Linked DNA regions of Danio rerio. The protein of the gene in region 1 purifies or fractionates together with the protein of each later gene. This does not show direct contact. Links are inferred from orthologs where the notes say so. Each region holds a gene or a part of one and is shown on either strand. Other genes may lie near its edges.

The links. Proteins that work in one complex are often made in the same cells at the same time.
Region 2: the proteins of supt7l (region 1) and atxn7l3a purify together in Homo sapiens (affinity purification with mass spectrometry; 6 studies listed by BioGRID and IntAct, counting the BioPlex papers as one, with this or other methods). This does not show direct contact. The link is inferred for Danio rerio from reciprocal best matches to the Homo sapiens genes SUPT7L and ATXN7L3.

What each region holds. Positions count from the first base shown.
Region 1 is NC_133192.1:44,167,955-44,173,444, forward strand, and holds the end of supt7l (STAGA complex 65 subunit gamma), read right to left. Parts: intron 2,149-5,490; coding exon 1,886-2,148; 3' UTR 1,856-1,885; downstream 1-1,855.
Region 2 is NC_133178.1:18,817,313-18,824,169, reverse strand, and holds the start of atxn7l3a (ataxin-7-like protein 3), read left to right. Parts: upstream 1-2,327; 5' UTR 2,328-2,547; intron 2,548-3,174; 5' UTR 3,175-3,237; coding exon 3,238-3,288; intron 3,289-4,622; coding exon 4,623-4,755; intron 4,756-4,834; coding exon 4,835-5,006; intron 5,007-6,626; coding exon 6,627-6,724; intron 6,725-6,847; coding exon 6,848-6,857. UniProt on the Homo sapiens protein: Component of the transcription regulatory histone acetylation (HAT) complex SAGA, a multiprotein complex that activates transcription by remodeling chromatin and mediating histone acetylation and deubiquitination.

The DNA of each region.
Region 1 (5,490 bases):
TATTTAGTTAATTTAAATAAAAAGTGAATTGCATTGTTAATGTGATTTATGTGATGATATTGAATGTAGATGAATTTAGATTTAAATTTCCACCTGTGGATAATAAAGTATAGAAGATTTTATAATCATTTATTTAGGAACTAAAATATTACAGGCAGAAATGTATTTATTTGTCATTAAAAATAAAGCCGCAAGGCAAGTACAAATAAGAATCTGACTGTACAAATAAGGATCTTGTTGAAATATGACCTGCTAGAGATGCTTCTAAGACCCACCGAAGACTAAGTAAGGACTAAAACATATGGAAGATTATTTTTGCAGTCAACGCTTATGTTTTGCTTTTCATCAAAATGCCCTTGAAGTGGCCACTGAAGGCCCACACGGTTTCATTTAAGGATGCTGTGAGATAGATTTCTAGTTTTCTCCTTTAGATTGCACCTCTGGAAACATAGCTATGGATGAGTAGCAAAATTTTCACCCAACCAGTATTTATTTGCTTACTTACATTTTTAATTGGAAAACTGTTGTGGTACAGGTGTCTAAGAGACAATGCCTTCGCTGTGACGTCTGGGACTGTGCAGGTAAATGAATTGGCCTGCTTATTTAGCATGCAGATTTATGCATGCTGTAATTAATTTGCCATTACTGGCTTGACTGATGTCCCTGTGTGTTTTGAAGCACACATCAGGCTATAATTACTCTCCATGTTGTGCTCCCTCCATTGTTTTGGTACAAAAAAACAGATGCTAATTTTGCTATGGCAAACAAGTACAGTTATTGTCCTATTTCATAATTAGGTAAAACGATGACCGCCTGGCATTTGCTGAGGGAGCGTTCAACCATGCCTGTCATTTGTCTGTTTCGTTTAATTTCACTTAAAACGTCCATTCAAAGGTAGAATACCTATCTAGTCCCAACAGTGGTTGAGCCTATGCATTGCAATGACTGTGGAAATGCTTTCAGTCTCTTTAATGAAAGGGTTAGTTCACTCAAAAATGACAATTATGTTATTAATTAGTCACCCTCATGTCTTATCCAAACCTCTAAAACCTTTATTTGTCTTCAGAACACAAATGAAGATATTTTAGGTGAAATCAAAGAGCTTCCTCATCCTTCATAGACAACAGGGGCCCTGACTCACTTATACTTGGGAACAATACCAAAATATATCCTCAGAAACATCCTCAGACACATGCTCTGGAATATAAACTGAATTTTATCAAGCTATAAGAATACTATGTACACCAGGGGTGCTCAATCCTGTTCCTGGAGATCTACCTTCCTTCAGATTTCAGTTGCTACCCATATCCAAAACACACCTGAACCAATTAATTAGGACCTAAACACCACGTGATAATTACAGTCAGGTGTGTTTGATATGGGTAGCAACTGAAATCTGCAGGAAGGTAGATCTCCAGGAACAGGGTTGAGCACCCCTGATGTACACATATAAAACAAAAATAACAACTTTACTCAAGGGTTTCTATTCCTCAGTGTCAGTATATTGCGCATGTCCACAAGTTGAAACAAGCACAAGCGCATTTGAGGTAAAACATCTGAAGCTAAATGCGAGATATGAGACGAGACATGTCCTATATTCACACTGAGAAGAAACTGACTATTTTTGTTTTATGTGCACACAAATGTGTTGATAATATTAACGTTGAACCACTGAAGCCATATGGTTAGTTTTGAGGATGTTTTTTAACAAGTCGGGAACCTTGCTGTGTATGGAGGATGAGGGAGCTCTCCGATTTCAACTAAAATGTCTTAATTTGTGTTCCAAAGACTAGGTTCAGGGGTTTAAAATGACATGAGAGTGATTATCTAATGACATAATTTTCATTTTTTTTTAGGTGAACTAACTCTTTAAATGGCAGAACCACTAAACTTTTCGAATTCGTTTCTTTGGTCGCTGAGCGAAGGGGGATGTGCCTATAAGAGAATCCGGGGAATGGGACATGTAGCTTCCTTCTGATCCGCCGGGAGATGGAGGCATGCCAGCTTCACTCATGGTGGACATTGGGCCCTCTTCAAAGACGTCGCTACCCAGAACCCCATGACCTGAAACCTGGCCCTCCTCGCTATCCTGAGGTTCCATTTTCACCTGAGCCAAATGCCACAAGGGAGGGCTGTTCCCTGCTGCTCCTGTTGAAGAGAAAACCAAATGGCTGTGTTAATCTAGAACATAGGTGTCAAACGTAGTTCTTGGAGGGCCGCAGCTCTGCACAGTTTAGTTCCGAAACCTAAATAAACAGACCTGAACTAATTTAGTGCTTTAAGCTTGATTGATACCCATAGATAGGTGTGTTGAAGCAGGGCTCGAACTAAACTCTGCAATGCAGCAGCCCACCAGGAATTAAGTTTGACACTCCTGATCTAAATCATTACCAAAACAAAAGTATTCTTGCCTAATTCTAACCATTTTCCCTTTACCCCAAATATGTAATAAAACAACTGATGGATTAGGTGGTTGAATTCATTCATTATTCAATTTTCACTGCTGTTATATGCTTGGTGCTTAACAAATAAATGACTATTTTAATTAAGCCCTTAAAAGAGCATAGATGTGAAAAGTTCAACTTACAGTAAATTGTTCTAATTTTTTAATGCTTTAGTGCATAGACAGATAGAAGATTTTGCTTTAAAGAAGACACTTGTCAGATTGTAGCTGAAGTGAAAAAAAGTTTTTTTTAAAGGCGTTTAAAAATATAAAACGTGTTTAAAAAATAATAAAAATATATAAATCATATTATTTAAAATTTGTATTAAAAACTGTTACTGTTACTTTGAATTTGACAAAATATATTATAATATTATGATAAATTATATTCCAAATTTAAAATTTACATCTCAGAAGCTTTTCAGTAAATTTCTGTTTGGGTATACAGCAAGGTTATAATAGTTTTGGATTTTTTTCATTAGTTTAGTTTCTATTTGTTTTGACTTTTTGCTTTCAAATTAAGTTAGTTTTAATTAGTTTTAGCAGATTTACTAGTTTTTATTAGTTTCGATATTTTAAAATGGTTTAGTTTTAGTTTAGTTTTTATTAGTTTTAGTATTAGTTTTTAATTTTATTTTTAAAATAAGGATTTTTGTTAGGTGCAAGATTCAAAAATCAACTGAATATTGTATAATAAAAACTATAATAAAAAGCTATTCATTTTTTAAAACACGTATTCAGAGGACACATGAACACTATCATCTCCCAGTACCATCTAACCATCCTCAAATTCAAATACAACAGCCAACAAGATAGCGGCCTTAAGTACAACATGTGTGCAAACCTGCTTCTGAGGTTAGATACACAGTAGAGATGAAGAGTTTAAATATTTAACACGGATGTTAGGACTCAACAAACCAAAATTATGTAGACTACTGACTCTGAGTGCCAAACACCTGCAGCACGAAGTAAATAGATTCACTTCTAAAAGGCTTCAAGTAAAATTATGTATTAAATACATTAACAAAGATGAAAACGAAGATTTTTGCTATAATTTTTGTTAGCTTCAGTTAGTTTTGTATGTGCACAAAACAGTTTCAGTTCTAGTTTTTTTTAAAAACTAATTTTTATTTTAATTTTACATTTATTTAAAAAAAATTTTTTTTATTTTTTTTAACTATAATAACATTGATATACAATACAAAACATCACCAGCAGATGACATTCAGTTTTCACTGGTGCTTGCTGCAGAGCCATTTGGGTGGAGCTCACCTCCAATGAGCTCCAGCTCCTCCTTCTATAAGCTGTTTTAGGCCCCGTTTACACAACATTTTAGTTTTCGAGCGCCGAAAACTACGCTTTTTGAAAATGCCGAAGAGGCCATTTTCATTTTAAAACACTTCTTCTCCGTGTTAGTGTGGGCAGAGGCGAAACGGAGGCGGGGCTGCAGACATTCTCCTACCTGATTGAAGATTTTTCCTCAATATTAAGTAGCCTACACAAAGTTCAGTCTCACATCGCCTCCTTGTACGTTCAGCCTTCCCAAGTTTCAAAAAACCATCCTTATGAGTGCACTGAAATTCCTACATTTAAGTTGAAGTAATGAGGTATTTAATTAACTCATTATCTTTAGCACTGAGTTCAAAACTTTTTTCAAATGAGTAGAATTAGCTTTCAGTAAATTTTGGGTTAATTTCATTTCATTTGATAAAGTTGGCTGTTGGGTATTACAGTGTAAAAATTAAATCTACAGCCTGACAAAAAAAAAAAAAAAAAGAATCAAATGACTGAACATTAAATGAAATCAAAATACCAGAAACATAATAAAGAGGTGTAGAACAGCAAGCATGTGAAATTGTTCAACCAGCAGAAATAATGCATCATTTATCAGCTTAATCTTAATATCAGAGAGAACGAGAGGGATTTTGCAAAAACTCATGTAAACATGGTTGTTTACTTGCATTGCATTATTTATTTGCATATAAACAGAATCAATACAATTCACCTTTATTTCTATAGCGCTTTTACAATGTAGATTGTGTCGAAGCAATTTCACATGGAAAATTATAGTGATTTGAAGCAGTGTCAATTCTGTTATTAGAAATTGAATGGGTTATTTAATTTAAGCAGTAGGCTGGGGGTCAATTCAATTTCGGTAGGCTAGTAATCAGTATATTGGGATGTTAGCCAAAAAAGACAGCATACTGAGCCTCCCACGGTAAACTCTCTCGGAAAAGTTTCGCCTTAACTTTTTCTTTTGATACTAAGACCATTACAGTCACAATTTGTTGCCTTAAATATATATTTCAAATCAAATCACAGCTAGACTTCAAACTGCCTGCAGTGAACAATGGTTACGCAAAATTCACATGTTTACTAGACAGATAAAATGTTTGTAAACAGATAAAAGGACAACGTTTCGCTAAAGTTCTGTTGCTGATTATTTTTGGTGTGTTACTCACTCCTGAGTGTTTGTCAGAACACACAAGCAACTGCTTTAGAAAATGGATGCAGTAGAGAGAAGGAAAGGCAAACAAACAGCTGGATGCCACAGATTAGATGTTTTGCATGCAATGACTCTAATCAAACAGTTAGGATTTTTTGATTTCAGAGCAACAATCGCTCTGTGAGTCCAAACAAACAGGTTGCATTTCATTATTTTCTGAATATTTGTGGAATACATGTGAAAATAATCAATTCAGACCAGGGGTTTTCAAACTGTGGACCTCCACAGGGTCATAATTCAAATGAATTACTATGAACCGTCTTTTACAAATGAAACTAAACAGAAAATAATTTTCATATTTCACAGTAGATTCAAACTATTCTTTGGGGTCATATTTGAAAAACAGAAAAATCTAAAAATAAATGAATAAACAATTCCATTAACATTGTGTTTGGGGGGAGGATGGCACAACAATGAGGGGTGTCTCTTGGTGATTTCCAAAAATCAAATACATTTTATTAAATATTAAAATGACCATATGATATCCATAACTAGCAAAAGATAGTAGTTAAGTTATATAATAAAAGCCATGAACCTTTTT
Region 2 (6,857 bases), on another chromosome or scaffold:
ATTTGATATGTTTTAAAATATGATGGATGTGAGTTACCCCACAATTCAGTGCACTTATGATGGAATCCCTAGTTCACTATTGCCCATTTATTATTTACATATTCAGTATGCCTCCTGCATTTCACTCATTAGCCCATAATGTCGACCACTTTACAGATCTTTCATGCACCAGCTCAAGGAATGTAACGGAGAAGTTTTATTTAAGAGAGGGGTACCATTATTTGTTGTGTGTGTGTGTGTGTGTGTGTGTGTGTGTGTGTGTGTGTGTGTGTGTGTGTGTATGTATATACGAACAGTTTTGAGGGTGACTGGTATATTCTCTCGTTCCAACACCCTGGCCGGAAATGGCAACTAAGTTAAACCCACAACCCAGCTTCCTGCACTGAGCTAAAACCTTTTACTCAGTATTTTTTTTACGCATTGGGCCACTGTAATTTATTTTTTTCCTCTGATTGCGTTCAATGATTTGCATATGAATACAAACTAATTATTATTTACGGAAGATTGCTATCAAAATAGATGCTCAATTTGCTGAACCAGGCGTGCAATCTTTGACCGAGGCCTGTATCATGTGTGATGCTGCATTATTGGGGGAAAATAAAAATACCCGATGGTTCTAGATGATTTGAAAGAAGGGCCGGGATAAGAAACCCAGTGGAACTTTCAAGATTTGTTGATATTTTATAGGATTTTGAGACTTTCAAATAGATTTGGGTTGGGTTCAGTGCTGTTGTAAGGTATTTGTACATATAGATTTCTCTTTTTTTCTTTCTCCCTTTGTAATGAGTGAATATTATTGCGTTTGTATTTTCAGTTGGCTACACTGCCGTAGCCTCAAGTTAGTTTGTCGATCGGGGGACATGTTTTTAATTTGGTAAGTTTTAGTTTTTACGCCTCCCCATGTTTGTTTATTTGTAGAAATGGCAAGAAAAAAAAGCTTAAATTTGTACTGCAGATTTGAAACATTTGGACATTTTCTATAGCAAAAGATGTTATATCCCTGCAATTTACAATTTGAGCAAATAAACCTTCTCTTAAACAGTTCTTCTGATTCGGTTTTGTTTTTTCACTCACCGATTTGTTCTAGATCGTTTGGTCTTGTTCGTTCTACACTAAAAAAAAAACGTTGAGTTATTTATTTAACCCTTTTTGCTACCCCATCAAGAAAAAAATATTTGGATTGCATTTCTTAAGTCATTATGTGACTAATTAACACACTCAAAGCATTTTTTCACATCTCATAACTTCTAAAATATCAAACTTTACCAAATGGTTGATATGTTGATTTATAGTAAAAGTACCAGAATTAATATGAATCTGAAAAATATGAAGTGCAAGACAAATTTACTGAAAAACAATAAAAAAATAACACATTTTCGGATAATAATCTTTTTTAAGTATGCCATAAAATATTTTAGATTCTCATTTAACACGTTTAATTCATTTTTTCTTTTTTTTTTTTACAATAAAACCAAAATCAAGTTTAGTAGTGCAACAGGATTTTTTTAAAAAATTTTTTTTAAAGATTTTTTTTGTAAACCAACAATGCTGTGTGGTAACCATTATTTCAAACAGTCATACTTTAAATGACTTTAAAAACATTCACGAAATGTTCAACCATTTGGTAGAGCAGGCATTAAAAGGGTTAACTTAACGGTTGAGTTAAAAAAAAAACAATAGTGCTTGTTTGGGTTTTTACCTTTTTTGGTTATTTATTTATTTAATAACATTTATCAGTTGCGTTAAAAATTTAGATTTTCAACCGTTAACTGATTTAACTGACATATAAATACACATATTTGAGATATTCGGTCGTCATGCTCGCCGTTAGCTTCCTTGTTTAGTCCATGTTGTTTATTTGTTCTTTATATCATTAATTCTGCCTGTCGTCTTGGTATTATTTTCCAACTGTTTTTTTGTTTATTGTTTTGTATGTTGTTTGAGATTGTCTGTTGATTGTTCTATTATTCATTTCTTCTATTGTTTATGTTCTTTTGTTGATCTTGTTCATCATGTTATTAGCTTTTATTTTCCTTTGTATTTTTTTCCATCAATCATTTGTTGTGATTAGTGTTGTTGTATTTGTCTTTTTCTTTGTTTTTGCTGTGCCTTTTTGTTTGTCTTGTTGATTTGTTTCATCTGTTCATTCCGTTTTCTCTTCTTTGTTTATTTGTAGCTTTTCTTCGTTCCCTCATTCATTCTTTTTATTTTATTGGATTTCTCTTTTTATCTGTGAACTACACGTGTGCCTATAGGCTATACAACAGAGTGCATGGGAACGAATTCAAGGCGAAAGGAATCGATGGGTCACGTTGGCTCTGCAATACACTAGTGATGTCTGACAGGAGCCAAAATGGCAGCGTTGTTTTATTTCCAAACATCATTTTTTATTCGTGTGACCTATTCAGCCAGGCGCCTAACCGTGTTTGTTAAATAACGTTTCCGTTACCTTCATACGCACGTTTTGAGTAGGTTTGTTCTCTGTTGTCGTTAACCAGAGGAACGGCTGGTTTGTGAATGAGGCAAGACTGGGGCCGTTTAGTCTTGGTAAGTCGACACATATTAAACAAATGCGTTTCAATGAGCGCGCAGTCGGTTACTTTGTAGCTTTACTACACATCACTGCAGTTTTGAAACAATGTTATTAAAACCCGCCCGAACGGAAACGCAAATGTTTAGTCAGTCAGTCAGTAAATGCTGTGCTGTAGTCAGTACCTGTCAACTAACATTATGTTGACGTTGTTGGTACGTGTGTTCAACAGTTTTATTAAGTTTATGACGCGGTGGTTATTAATTACAGATCTTCATTTGTTTTATTTGCCCTCTGTTGAAATTGATAATCGCTATGCCCGTTTATTTATCCTAATCCCGTTATAGCTTAACGTTATATATCAACGTGGGTGTTGAACGAGCTTTTGACAGGCATCTACTGATAAGGATAAAATGATCTAGGAAATGGGTGTGCGTTTTAGATAGGGCCTTTAATTTCTAACAAATAATTTACTGTACATCCTTTTATAGCGCTACAGTTTGTGTATAGTGTGTATTACAATGCTCATTAGCATATTATTTTAGCTACGCATGTTTCGCCTTTGGCGCTAAACGACGCAGTTTCATTTAGACGACGATGCAGATTTGACCATGATGTAATGGGTTTTTGTTTGTGTTTTTCAGTGTTTTCCACTCCTCCTCCTCCTGTTGTCAACAATGACAGCTCCCCTACCATAGTTGCTGCAAATGAAAATGGAGGATATGTCTCTGTCAGGCCTGGATAACACCAAGCTAGAGGTACTGGTAAATGATGACAGATAATAAAACAGTTTAAAATAGCTAAAGTTGGGGTTTTATACACGTTCACCACTAGCATTCACAGGGTACACTCTAAATTTTATTACAGACTTAAGATTTTCTTTGTCAGTACAAATATAAGACTTTTAACTTTATTAAACTCTGTTACAAGCACTGAATAAGACAATCAAATGCAATAATCACATTGTAATACTTAAAAAATAAATCATAAAACCTTTTTCTTGGAGAATATCTTGCACAATACTGTATTTTATTTGCTTTTGTAGTCTTCAGTTATGTGTATAGTCAACTTTTTTTTTGTTTGATTGATTACTGCTCCACTATGTTAGCTATGTGTGATTTTTAAAATTGCACATCCTGTGTAGGAGTCATATTCATTCATTCATTCATTCATTCATTCATTCATTTTCTTTTTGGCTTAGTTCCTTTATTTATCTGGTGTCACAACAGCAGAATGAATCGCCAACTTATCCAGCATATGTTTTACACAGTGGATGCCCTTCCAGCTGCAACCCAACACTGAGAAGCACCCATACACTTCCATTCACACACATAAACACTACGGACAATTTAGCCTACCCAATTCACCTATACTGCATGTTTTTGGACGTCTAGGGAAAACCCACGCAAACACAGGGAGAACATGCAAACTCCACACAGAAATGACCAACTGACCCAGCCAAGCCTCGAACCAGCGACCTTGCTGTGAGGCAAACGTGTTACCCACTGTGCAGCCGTAGTCATATTTATTATTTTTATTATTTATTTTTCATGTTGCACTGTAGTTCTGTGAGACATGTCTTTTAATTTCACTGTATCTCCACATGTAGCAGAATACAATAAAACTCCACATGACTTGACGTATCTTTCCATTTACATGTTCAGAAATACAGGCACAGAAGTTGTCACTGAGGAAAACCATTTCTAAAGCTAAACATTTGTACCTAAAAGTTTATATTGATACCTTAGATTCATATATTAGTACCTACACATTACAGTAGTACAACCTTTGAACTTTCAGCAGTGAAAATGAAACCAAACTGAACTTCAACTCTGAAAACTGGACTGAAGCTGTTTCAATTTAATACAACTTCTATGTTAAGCTGCTATGACACAATCTACATTTGTGAAATAAAGTTTAATTCAATCCTTTGGAACATCTAGGTACTAATTAGCAATTTTAAGGTGTCATTATGAACTCTTTAGGTACAAATTTCCACCATTTTAAAGGGAACAGTCAGTGACAGCTTGTGTATCTTTATTTTTGAAAGTAAGTGTATTTAGTATTATCAATGATTTATTTATGTTTGTAGGCCTTGGCTCATGACGTGTACTCTGACCTAGTGGAAGATGCCTGTTTAGGGCTGTGCTTTGAGGTGCACAGGGCCGTCAAACAGGGCTATTTCTTCCTGGATGAAACGGACCAAGAAAGTATGAAGGATTTTGGTGAGTAAAAAAAAGACAATTTATTTTCTAAAACCTGGGTTACGTGCTTTAGTTTGACATACTTCTCTCTCTGGCGTAGAAATAGTGGACCAGCCTGGTGTGGACATCTTTGGGCAGGTGTACAACCAGTGGAAGAATAAGGAGTGTGTTTGTCCCAACTGCAGCCGGAGCATTGCGGCCTCTCGCTTCGCTCCTCATCTGGAGAAGTGTCTCGGCATGGGCCGCAACAGCAGCCGAATAGCCAACCGCAGGTGAGCTCACTTTGGTGTCACAACATTTAGCATCAGAATTCATTTCCTTTTAAAATTGCTTTAACTTTTTCCTATACAGTTGACCAAACATTGCTGCAATATAAATAATGTTTTTTTTGTTGATGATCTGAAATGGGTTGACATAATTTTATGCAAGTACCATTCCACAAAACATGCAAAATTACTTTGGATTTATGTCGAATGGTCGTCTTTCTTATGTAGGCAAATTACATAAGACATTTAACTGCATAAAGACTACCTTACCTGCTCAACCCTCCATCGTACAATCATCCATCAACTAGCAATTAAAATATTTAGTGAAGGGTAACATGAACAAAAACCTATTCTATTTATTTCCCGTATTATTAATTTTGTAATATTTATTTCAGATATATATTTTTATATATATAATTTTTAAAGTGATTTGCATACAATACAATGTGTGTGTCTATATATGTATTGGTACCAATGGGCCCAAACTGTGCCAAGAAAATGTCCCCCAAACCATTACACTAGCACTACCAGCCTTAACCGTTGACAAAAGGCAGAATGGATCCATGCTTTCATGTTGTTGACTCCAAATTCTGATCCCATCATCCGAATGTTGCAGCAGAAATCGAGACTCATCAGACCAGGCAACCTTTTTCCAGTCTTCTATTGTCCAAATTTGGTGAGCCTGTGTGAATTGTAGCCTCAGTTTCCTGTTCTTAGCTGACAGGAGCGGCACCCGGTGTGGTCTTCTGCTGCTATAGCACATCTGCCTCAAGGTTTTACGTGTTGTGCATTTAGAGATGCTCTTCTGCATACCTCGGTTGTAACGAGTGGTTATTTGAGTCACTGTTGCCTTTCTATCAGCTAGAACCAGTCTGACCATTCTCCTCTGACCTTTGGCATCAACAAGGTTTTTGCGCCCACAGAACTGCCGCTCTCTTTTTCAAACCATTCTCTGTAAACCCTAGAGATGGTTGTGCGTGAAAATCCCAGTAGATCAGCAGTTTCTGAAATACTCAGACCAGCTTGCTGGCACCAACAACCATGTTACATTCAAAGTCATTAAAATCACCTTTCTTCCTCATTCTGATGCTCAGTTTGAACTGCAGCAGATCTTTACCATATTTAAATGAATTGAGTTGCTGCCATGTGATTGGCTGATTGGAAATTGGCTTTAACGAGAAGTTTGGTGTACAGGTGGTGTACCTAATAAAGTGACCGGCTGGTGTATATATATATATATACGTATATATATGTATATATATATATTTTTTTAATGGATTTGTGCTCTAAACCTTAAAACTTTTCAGCTAATATTTCTTTATTTTATTCTACAAAATTCTGCACAGAAATGACAAAAAAAGTCTGCAGATTCTGTCTGGCCTTGCTCATGAGTTGTGATACACCAATGAGACTTGTTTGGTTTTATTTAATTTTTAGTTTTTTGATTTTCTTTTCACCGGTGTCAATTTTAAAGCTCATTAATGTCCCGACGAAACTGTATGCTATTTTTTTGCATGCTATTTAAAAAAATCTATTTCATTGTAAATCTGTTGCTATGTACTGGTGGGAAAATTAGAAATTTGGTTAATAAAAAGTTTAAGGCCATTTTAACTGTTGTTTCTACAGAATAGCCAGCAGTAATAACACAAGCAAGTCAGAAAGCGATCAGGAAGACAATGACGACATCAATGACAACGACTGGTCCTATGGCTCAGAGAAGAAAGGTCAGCTCTTCCCTCTATCAAAACTTGCTTTGAAACATTTACCACATTTTTTTTAGCTGAACAAAATAATGCATTGGTTTCAACATGCATCGCTAACAGTTCATTATCTTCTTGTGTACACAGCCAAGAAGAG